Linked DNA regions of Xenopus tropicalis. The protein of the gene in region 1 interacts with the protein of each later gene in a biochemical or structural test. Links are inferred from orthologs where the notes say so. Each region holds a gene or a part of one and is shown in the gene's direction. Other genes may lie near its edges.

Region 1 (4,562 bases):
ATTGAGACAACTGAAGGTATGCTTGCATTTTGAAATTAACTATTTATTAGCCTTTCCTTCTCCTTTAAATCTAATAAGACCTCAAGTATTTTGTGCCTATGATTAAGTGCTGCTTAAGGGACGAATTCATGCGGGAACGAAATGTTGAACACTCTCCAGTGATTACAATCACTTACCTGATACCTTAGTCTGGCGCGCCTTTTAGCAGAAAACGGCACCGACCCAGGGGACCTAAGCGAGAACCATGGATCAATTTTTTTGTTCTTTAATGGCCCTGGGCTGACACCTGTGCTGAAGAGTGAAAAAGGTGTTTTTTTGCTTAAAAGTCGGCTTTTCACTCCACTGATCATGCACATCTGCCAAGAATAAGGAAGAATATTGCATTGTGGTGCTCCCTCAGAAGTATCCTAGGAAGGTGCCATTTTTTGTACTTGCTGGGTTTATCAGGTAAGTGATTAGAATCATTAGAGGGAATCTAATGTTAGAAGTTAGGAGTCTAACTAACATTTCCTCTGGCAGGCTTGACTTCAAAGCTGAAACGATTCATAGGCCGGAGCTGTCGACCCCCCATTTCGGGAGTTACCTGTTTTGAAGGCTCTACCCAATTCTCCCACCCCCAGCAGCATTCTCTCGATTTTTCTGAAGTCTCATGAAGTCCAGTGGTGAATTTCGGGCGTGCATGTGCAGTAAGCGTTTAGTGATGTCATTTAATGCATTTGCGCATGCACAAGTAGAATTATTTGTCTTCAGCTGCAATTTTGCGCATGTGCATGACGTCACATCTGGAAGTGTGCATGACGTTCATAACATCACTTCCAGGTATCGGGGGGGGTAAATTTCCCAGTGCATTCCGCGTAGGTAGGCCTTTTTCACCTATTGTTTCCAGGAGAAAAGTATTCCGGAACAGTCTGTCACCTGTGGTAGCAAATATCTATCTCAGGCGACTAACTCGCTCCGTGGCCCATCAGTCTTAGAACCTCCTACCTTTGAATCCACCAGAAACTACTCCACAAAAATGAATACTTTGCATCAACCATCACGTTTAGAGCAAGAAGGTGAACATGAGCTAAAAAGCATCACACGATGCAGATAAAGCCACGTTAAACCACAAAATGAACCATGTGTGCCAGCGGTGCTCAACCTGTGGGTCAGGACCCCTTTGGGGTCGCCTGGAAAACACATATTTCCGATGGTTTTAGGAATAATTTTATGGTTGGGGGGTCACCACAACATGAGGAACTGTATTAAAGGGTGGCAGCATTAGGAAGGTTGAGAACCACTGATGCATGAGAACATCTATGTCCTATTACATTTCTAGCCAGTAAGAATTGTGGCTCCCTCCAGGTCACCTGTATCTACAACAGTGCAACCTTGGTCCGCCAAGAGCTGTAAAAAACATTAGATATTACTAAATACCAGTGTTAAAAGGAAAACGTCTTGCCACCTCTTAGCACTTTTAGTCTAGACGGCGCAGACAAGGTTAATTTCCCAAGACAGCGTGAAGTGACGCGAAGGCGTGCGTATCCCAGCGCTGCTGCTGCTGTGTGGCGTGGCGGTGGCGGCGCCGTGCATGGGGCTTGTGTACGCGCACGGGGAGGTGTGAGAACTCGGGGAAAGCGGCTGGCGGCGATTTACGCAGTAGGGTGACGGGATTTTATCGGGATTCGGCTAGGCGACAGATAGGAGCCCTGGAGTTTTGGTGAGTAAGCAGGAGTGGGAGAAAATTCGGTGTGTGCTTATATAAAAGGTTTCTGTACTTTTGCTATGCGGGGCTGCGTGTATGTGTATAGGCTATAAGGGGGGAGGCGGGCTAGTTGTAGACTTCCATTTGTTATCTTATTGCTTGTGGTGTAAGGAAACTATTGCCTGGCTGTCGCAGGATGCTGGGAGCTGAGGGCCATGGCTGAGCTGTAGATTTTGTCGTTGTAGTATGGGTGCTTTATTGCAGTGATTCCACTCCAGTTTTACACACATTTTAGCGCAGTCCTTAATGAAATACATTTTAACTTCGCTTTGAATGTTGTAAGGTTGTAAGCTCAAATCTGAGCTCTTCATTACCTTTGGTCACCTCTGGGCGTTTGTTTAGTTTTTATTTGCAGTTTCTCCACCATCTTGTTCTTCCCCATGTGTCGATTCTATTTACTCTTTACTCACCTTTCTTCATGTTTGTGCAATGTAAGATAGGGCCCTCCAGGTGTTGTTTAACCACAACTTATCAGCTTGAGGGGTAGAGGCTCTGCCATTGCAAAACCCCACTCCCTCTCATGTTGTTATGTCTGGCCCTTTACTGGAATGTCGGGAGTTGTAGTTTAGCCCAGCTGATGATCCACAAGTTTAATATATGTTTTAGTCTTGTTACTCATGTTGGAAAATGTTTTGTTTCTAAAGTCGTTTATATTTTGAATATGTTCTAATTTATTGCTTTTGGTAATTTTGCATTAAAATTTTGAATATATGCACATATTTTGTTGAAACATCTCTTGCAAACTTTAACAGTGTAATAAGCAAAATGGCATTTCATAGTAAGATCGATCACAAAATGAGAAGTCTGTTTCGATTTACATATTTTCGCTACCTCTCAATTCTGTAACCCCTATTCATATAATTGAAAATGAAAAAAAAAATTATTTGGAAAAAAAAAAATATACATATTTTGGTGGAGTGTATTCTTAGGGTCTCGAGCAACAATGTTGAACTTTTCCAGTATGGTTGTGTTTTGGCATCATCTCTTGCATGCTTTCTATATTTGTGTAGAATATTCATTGGTTTGGATTCCTCTGTACTGTTTTACAGTACATTTAATATGGTATAGTCAGATAGCAGTTAAGTTAGGTTTAAACCAAAAAAAAAAGTAGACCACTTCAAATATTTAGAATTAAATGATGGAAAGTGATAGCAATTGTGTGACATTGTTAATTTTTCAGAAAACGTTAACACATTATGTGTGGATGTTAAAAACATGTACAGGTAAGGGATCCCTTATCTGGAAACCTGATATCCAGAAAGCTCCGAATTACGGACAACCTGTCTCCCATAGACTCCATTTTAATCAAATAATTCAGCTTGATTTCCTTTTTCTCTGTAAAAATAACTGCTATGTATTTGATCCCAACTAAAATATAATTAATCCTTACTGGGTGCAATGTAATCCTATTGGGTTTAATTAATGTTTTATTGATTTTTTTTTTTAGTAGACTAAGGGGCACATTCATCAAAGTACGATTGTTTCTAAATACAAAAAAAATGGTATTTTTTCTAAGTTTTCGTACTGTGCGCATTGTTTTGCAACTTTTGTACTGTGCGACAATTTGCTCGACAAACTTGTATTTGTTGCGTTGAGTACTAAAGTTTTGGATTCATTAAAGCTTCGTTATCGTTACTTTCCTTGGGCCAGGTTGGAGCTGCAGAGTGCCATTGAGTTCTATGGGAGGCTTCCAAAAACATGCACTGAAGAATCAGTCAGTTTTCCCGCCATTTATGATCGTTCGGATACAAAATTTTCGTGACTTTCGTAACGACATTACGATATTATCCTGCTTATTATGATTTTTTTCGTGACATTTCCGATCATCAGAAATTATCGTATTTGATCCAAATTTTGCCCATTTCGGGATTCAAACTCCTACATTGATAATTCTGCCCCTTAAGGTATGAAGATCTAAATTACGGAATGACCCCTTATCTGGTATACCCTTGGTCCTAAGCATTCTGGATAATAGGTCCAATACCTGTACCTGGCATCGCTGCAGCTTTCTTTTAAAGTTACTTACATTCATAATACTCCTTAAATATTGGGTAGACGAGTAACTGTATGTACAGCACTGCAACATATGTTGGTGCTTTATAAATGTAGTAATAATAATAACCTAATACGCTATGACGTTTCTTTTAATTTAATCGGGTGTTTCTCCCAAAAACTTTGTCCATAAGAGGAGAATATATAATGCTAAATAGGGATGCACCAAATCCACTGTTTTAGGATCCGGCTGAACTCTGAATCCTTTGTGAAAGATTTGGCCGAATACCGAACCGCAAATTAGGACTAGAAAGGGTTAAAGTGTACCACACGCTCCATGTGCGGTGAAAAATGTTCAGCTTCCGTGTGTAGGTGACAAAAAGTCCAGACCGAATCCTGGATTCTGTGCATCCCCAATGCTAAGCCACTGTCCAATATATACATTAAAAAGTATGTGTATATCTTTAACAACAGATTTGTTGCGATGCGACCAATCTCTTAAGCTGGCCATACACGTGGCGATCTAACGATGTCACATCGTCAGATCCGCCACACACAGTCAGGTCTGAAACAGCAGATAAGGAGGTAGAAACAATAGGATTTCTACCTCCTTCTGCCGATTCAGCCCTGACGGCAGATTTTGGTCAGGCGCCTTCTATGGCGCCCAATCAAAATTTTCTAACCTGGCCGATCGGCGAGTCGTCCGATATCAGCAGCTTCCTGCGATATCGGTCGACTTGCCGACATGCCATACACGCACCGAATAGGTTTCGTACGATAGTATCGGTGCGTGTATGGCCAGCTTTAGCCCGATTCAGTATCTTAT
Region 2 (4,533 bases), on another chromosome or scaffold:
TATAACTGCCTTAAAATGCAAAGTGCATATTGCTTTTTTATGCTGCCATAAATGACTTTGGCATGGGTTATGATTACTTTTTACACTTTTACAGTGAATAAAAAGAGCCTTACAGATAAAACTACTGTATACACTAGGCTTAAGAGTTTTGGTCAAAGCAAATGCATTCACTGGAGGATACAGTATACATGTTAAAAACATTATTTTAAATTTCCTTATCACTGGCAATAAGTCACTGTGCTTTACTAATTCTGCTGGTATTTTAACACAAATGATCAGTAAATTCGGTTTAACCACACCTGATAATGTGAAATATGATGGTATAAAATTCTGTAAAGTGACATGAACTGGTACAGCCAGACAACAATGTGTTCCCAGTAGCTGATTGTCTCCCCACAGGTGCCAAAGACTTCCACCCCCACAAAGCTACACTACTGTATGTTAAATTTAACACTGATTACAAATCAAGGTGCAAATCGTTTCACAATGTTAACAATACCTTCTTTTTGCAGGGGAAGGTAAATATAGTTGTATTTAGAATAAATAGCTGGTTGCCCTCCATTCTGAGAACACCTCCCCCCTTCCTTCTGAACCAAACATCCCCAGTACGGTTGGTAACCAAACTTATTGCTCGATGATAATAGTAAAGATAGGCTGGAGTCCTAGAAATGATTTTTGCACATTATAAATGAAGGACATGGCGGAGCGTAGGCTGGTAAAAATGAGTAAGGTGTTGGGAGGAAATCGAGTTTACAGACGCGATTGTTGCAGTGACAAGTATAGTGAACAGGGGCAGATATTCTCGGGGATGACTGAGTTTGTGGTGGGTGAGGTGGGTGGGGGGTAGTCTAGGTTATTGGGTTGAGGTATTCCTGTGAGAATTAGCGGGATATGTAATAAGTCTTTCACACAGAAATAGCCTGAGGTGAGGAAGGTGCGCCCTTGCACTACACCACGAGTCTATCGATTCATTTATAGTCCCAATGGCCTTTTAACGCTTTCTTGGATGAGCAGGCTTAGCAGGGCTATTAAAATGACAGCCTTCTTTAGTCAAGTACAGCAAAATGTCAGGCGTTTCACATGAACGCCTCCGATTGCCCCATGACACAGGCAGCGAGACAAGCAATTGTTCGTGGCTGAGGTAAAGCGTAGGACAGTCATGTTTTTGTTACAAGCACAGTCCGGCTCCCTGTACATTGATGGCAATTTCATTAACACGAGATTAGAGCATAAGGAAAGATGAGCCCGGCACACGGAGCCAAGTAGAAAGGCGAGCCGTTGCTAGCGGTACCACACGCACACAAGTTTGCTCGGACAGTCTGGGCTGAGCCCTCCCCTAATATAGGCCGCGGGGTGGGCCGGCCGCTGCCTTGATTGACGGCTTCCCGGAGTGATTTGCCCCCCACGTGATCCGCAAAAGGGGCTGGGAGTAAAAGAAGAGTCCTGCTGGCTGCGCTCTCATTATATTCCAATATTCATTTTAGGAACCAGTTCCATAGTATCATCTCCATCTGCAAACTGCGTCCCGAGTCCCACTGAGCTTTTCCACAAATTTCTGTCCAAGATTGGCAGTCAAGAATCATGGACTGTTTTTCTATGCCTTGTTTTCTGTCAGTGAGTAGACTTTCTGTTCATTCTGTATTTTTCATCTCCCCCCTTGTGTACTTTGCCCGTAGCTGCCCTCCTGCATAGGAACCCCACGGCTCTGGGTACTTACTGCTGAGGCTATGGCAGGACCTGAGACAATGTTGAGCCCCCCCGCAGCGCTCTAGGACAGAAGTGTGCTACACATCTAGAACGGCAAGTCAGTCTTCTGCGCTCCAGGTGTTGGAGAACTACAAGTACCAACATTCTTTGGCCAGGTTCGCTGAACTGGGGTGGGGGGGTCGGAGTGTTGTAGTTCTTTAGCAGCTGGATAGCCGAGCGTTACGTGCGCTTGTGCCGGAGGGGGACTGATAGCGGCATGTATCACAGCTGTAGCGCCGACACATCGCGGGCTATCGGGTTGCAGAACACATGATCCAGCTGCCCGGAGCGCTGGCACTTGTTGCAAAAGGGCAAATGGCAGGGGCAATTCTATAGCTGCTGATCGTGCTAGGAGTCAGACTGGTGCTAATTGTCTGGAGCCCGGGAGACGCTCACAGTCAGATTAGCAACAGGATGGCGGTGACTATCTGATAATGAGGGATGTGACTGGGAACAAGTTATAGCCCAAGAAACCCCAGGCACCCCCCCTCTCGCCCTGCCCCGGGTGGCTCAGTGGAACTGTCCTTGTCCTATTATTTGCTTTGATCCCGCTCTATCACTTGATTTGAGTCTAATCCCCTACAGATCCTCCCTATTTATTTGCATGTATTTTTGTTCTGCACCCTCCAGAGACACCATGATTCCTGGTAACCGAATGCTGATGGTCATTTTATTATGCCAAGTCCTGCTAGGAGGCACTAACCATGCCAGCCTGATACCTGAGACGGGCAAGAAGAAAGTAGTGGCCGAGATTCAGGGAGGTAGAAGGTCCGCTCAGAGCAATGAGCTCTTGCGGGATTTCGAGGTGACGCTGCTGCAGATGTTCGGCCTCCGCAAGCGGCCGCAGCCCAGTAAGGATGTGGTGGTGCCCGCGTATATGCGGGACCTGTACAGGCTTCAGTCAGCGGAGGAGGAGGATGAACTACACGATATCAGCATGGAGTACCCGGAGAGACCGACCAGCCGGGCTAACACCGTGAGGAGCTTCCATCATGAGGGTGAGTAGTTACAATCCCTTTTCGGCCCCGGATAGGCAAAGTTTGAAAAATGACGGACTGTACCATCCGCCCTTTCCCCCCTTCTCCAGAGCAGCCCCAGCTACCTACCGCTAGGGTATGGCAGAAGCAGCACAGCGATTTCTCTCCCACACAGAGTACTCCTCTCATCTGTGGGGACCCCATTACTTTACTGCTCTGTCTATGGAAAACGAATAAGCTAGCTATGTTCTGCAAGTGTTTTTGGGGGGTTAACCTTCCCAAACTGCTTGGAATACCCCAAGATCCCCATCTTATTCTCATCCGGATTAACACAGTTTTTACATTGATTTATTCCTCTGATATGTGTAAGGAAGTGCAGCAATTGTATTCTTTGAGTATATAGTATAACAAGTTCCTCCTTTTCCATGTATTATGTCTGAGTAACCTAGAGAGTACCCCTTTTATTCATGGATAAGTATCCTCATGTGACACCAATCTATTCGCAATATCATTATATTCTGAATTATGCCATTGTAGATCCAAAGCATCTTCATATATCCTTGCTGAGGTATCACCTCTACATTGATACAGTACCCCAATATGACAGCCAGGGACCTGCAATTCCTTTACTCTCCCTTGTTGCTTTCTACTTTGGCCAACTCCAAGTAATATTTGATTTATTTCTAATAATGAGACTTGATTCACTTTTTATCAGACACATATAATTTGGTTCTTTGATCACATATATAACAAGAATGTACTTCACATACGCATATCTAATTATCCCTAATTGTTCTTGGTAGCTTACACTGCAAGGAGGACCAGCCTATTCATTATACATTCTTGCATTTACATGCTAAATATGCATATGCCTAAACAAACTAACACAGAGTAGTGCATTGTAACAGCCAAAACAAAGGCACGCTTATTAGCATTTGAAACACCTGCCCAGACCTTTTCTTAAAGCTGCCGTAAGGTGTGAGTCAGTACTTACATAGTGTAACATCCTTTTAGTTATTTTAGTTTGTAAATTGTTTTCTGTTGTTCAGTTTCCTGCAAAATTAGTAAAGGGAGCCTTATCCCTAACCATATACTAGACTGTGGCATTTGGAGGTACAGGGTAAATTATTTTAGAAGTAAAGGTGTCCAGCGCCATAGCCATAAACCTGTCCTGGTGTGGTCTATAAGCAGTTAAGACTTGCAAGACAGTAGACTCTTGGGAACCTCCCTTACTAACTTGCTGTTTTGAGATGTACTAGATTTTTTTTTATGTTCCTGCCTGGTTCTGCTATAGAGGGTTACGCTAGGAGTGTGACCCATCATTCTAAAATCCATGACTCATAGACATGTTCTGCAGTTTGTTGGATGCATTATACCAACTAGCTAAATATGCAGCAAGTTAAGGCCTCAGATACATTTCCTTTAATAAAGCGGTAATCTCTTAAACATGTCCTACAGGTCTTGCCTAATCCTACTGCGAGGATCAGACCAGTTGGGTTGGTCTTACATTAGACCATCTAATTGTAGTAATTAAAAAAAGAACTTCTCTTCAGTGGAATGGTGAAACCTGACATTTTGTCAGTGCATGTTTTTTTTAATGGTCATCTGATACTGCTCCAGTTCTTAGCTATTTGATGCTAAAAATCAGTAAGTCCTTAGCTACAACTATTAAACAGAAGCCTTATAAGGTAATACTTTATGACTGATACATTTTATTGGTTATATCACAATACGACAAAAAATGGATATATCTGCTAAATTTATTTTATAGGACTATTCTGAAGTTTTATGAGTTGTTTTATGAGTTCTC

Evidence for each region.
Region 2: the proteins of bmpr1a (region 1) and bmp4 form a complex in vitro, tested with the Homo sapiens proteins (3 studies listed by BioGRID and IntAct, with this or other methods). The link is inferred for Xenopus tropicalis from reciprocal best matches to the Homo sapiens genes BMPR1A and BMP4.

Annotation. Positions count from the first base shown.
Region 1 is NC_030683.2:49,285,436-49,289,997, forward strand, and holds the start of bmpr1a (bone morphogenetic protein receptor type-1A), read left to right. Parts: upstream 1-1,489; 5' UTR 1,490-1,699; intron 1,700-4,562. UniProt on the Homo sapiens protein: On ligand binding, forms a receptor complex consisting of two type II and two type I transmembrane serine/threonine kinases.
Region 2 is NC_030684.2:94,978,826-94,983,358, reverse strand, and holds the start of bmp4 (bone morphogenetic protein 4 precursor), read left to right. Parts: upstream 1-1,465; 5' UTR 1,466-1,614; exon of another isoform or gene 1,615-1,862; intron 1,863-2,376; 5' UTR 2,377-2,383; coding exon 2,384-2,744; intron 2,745-4,533.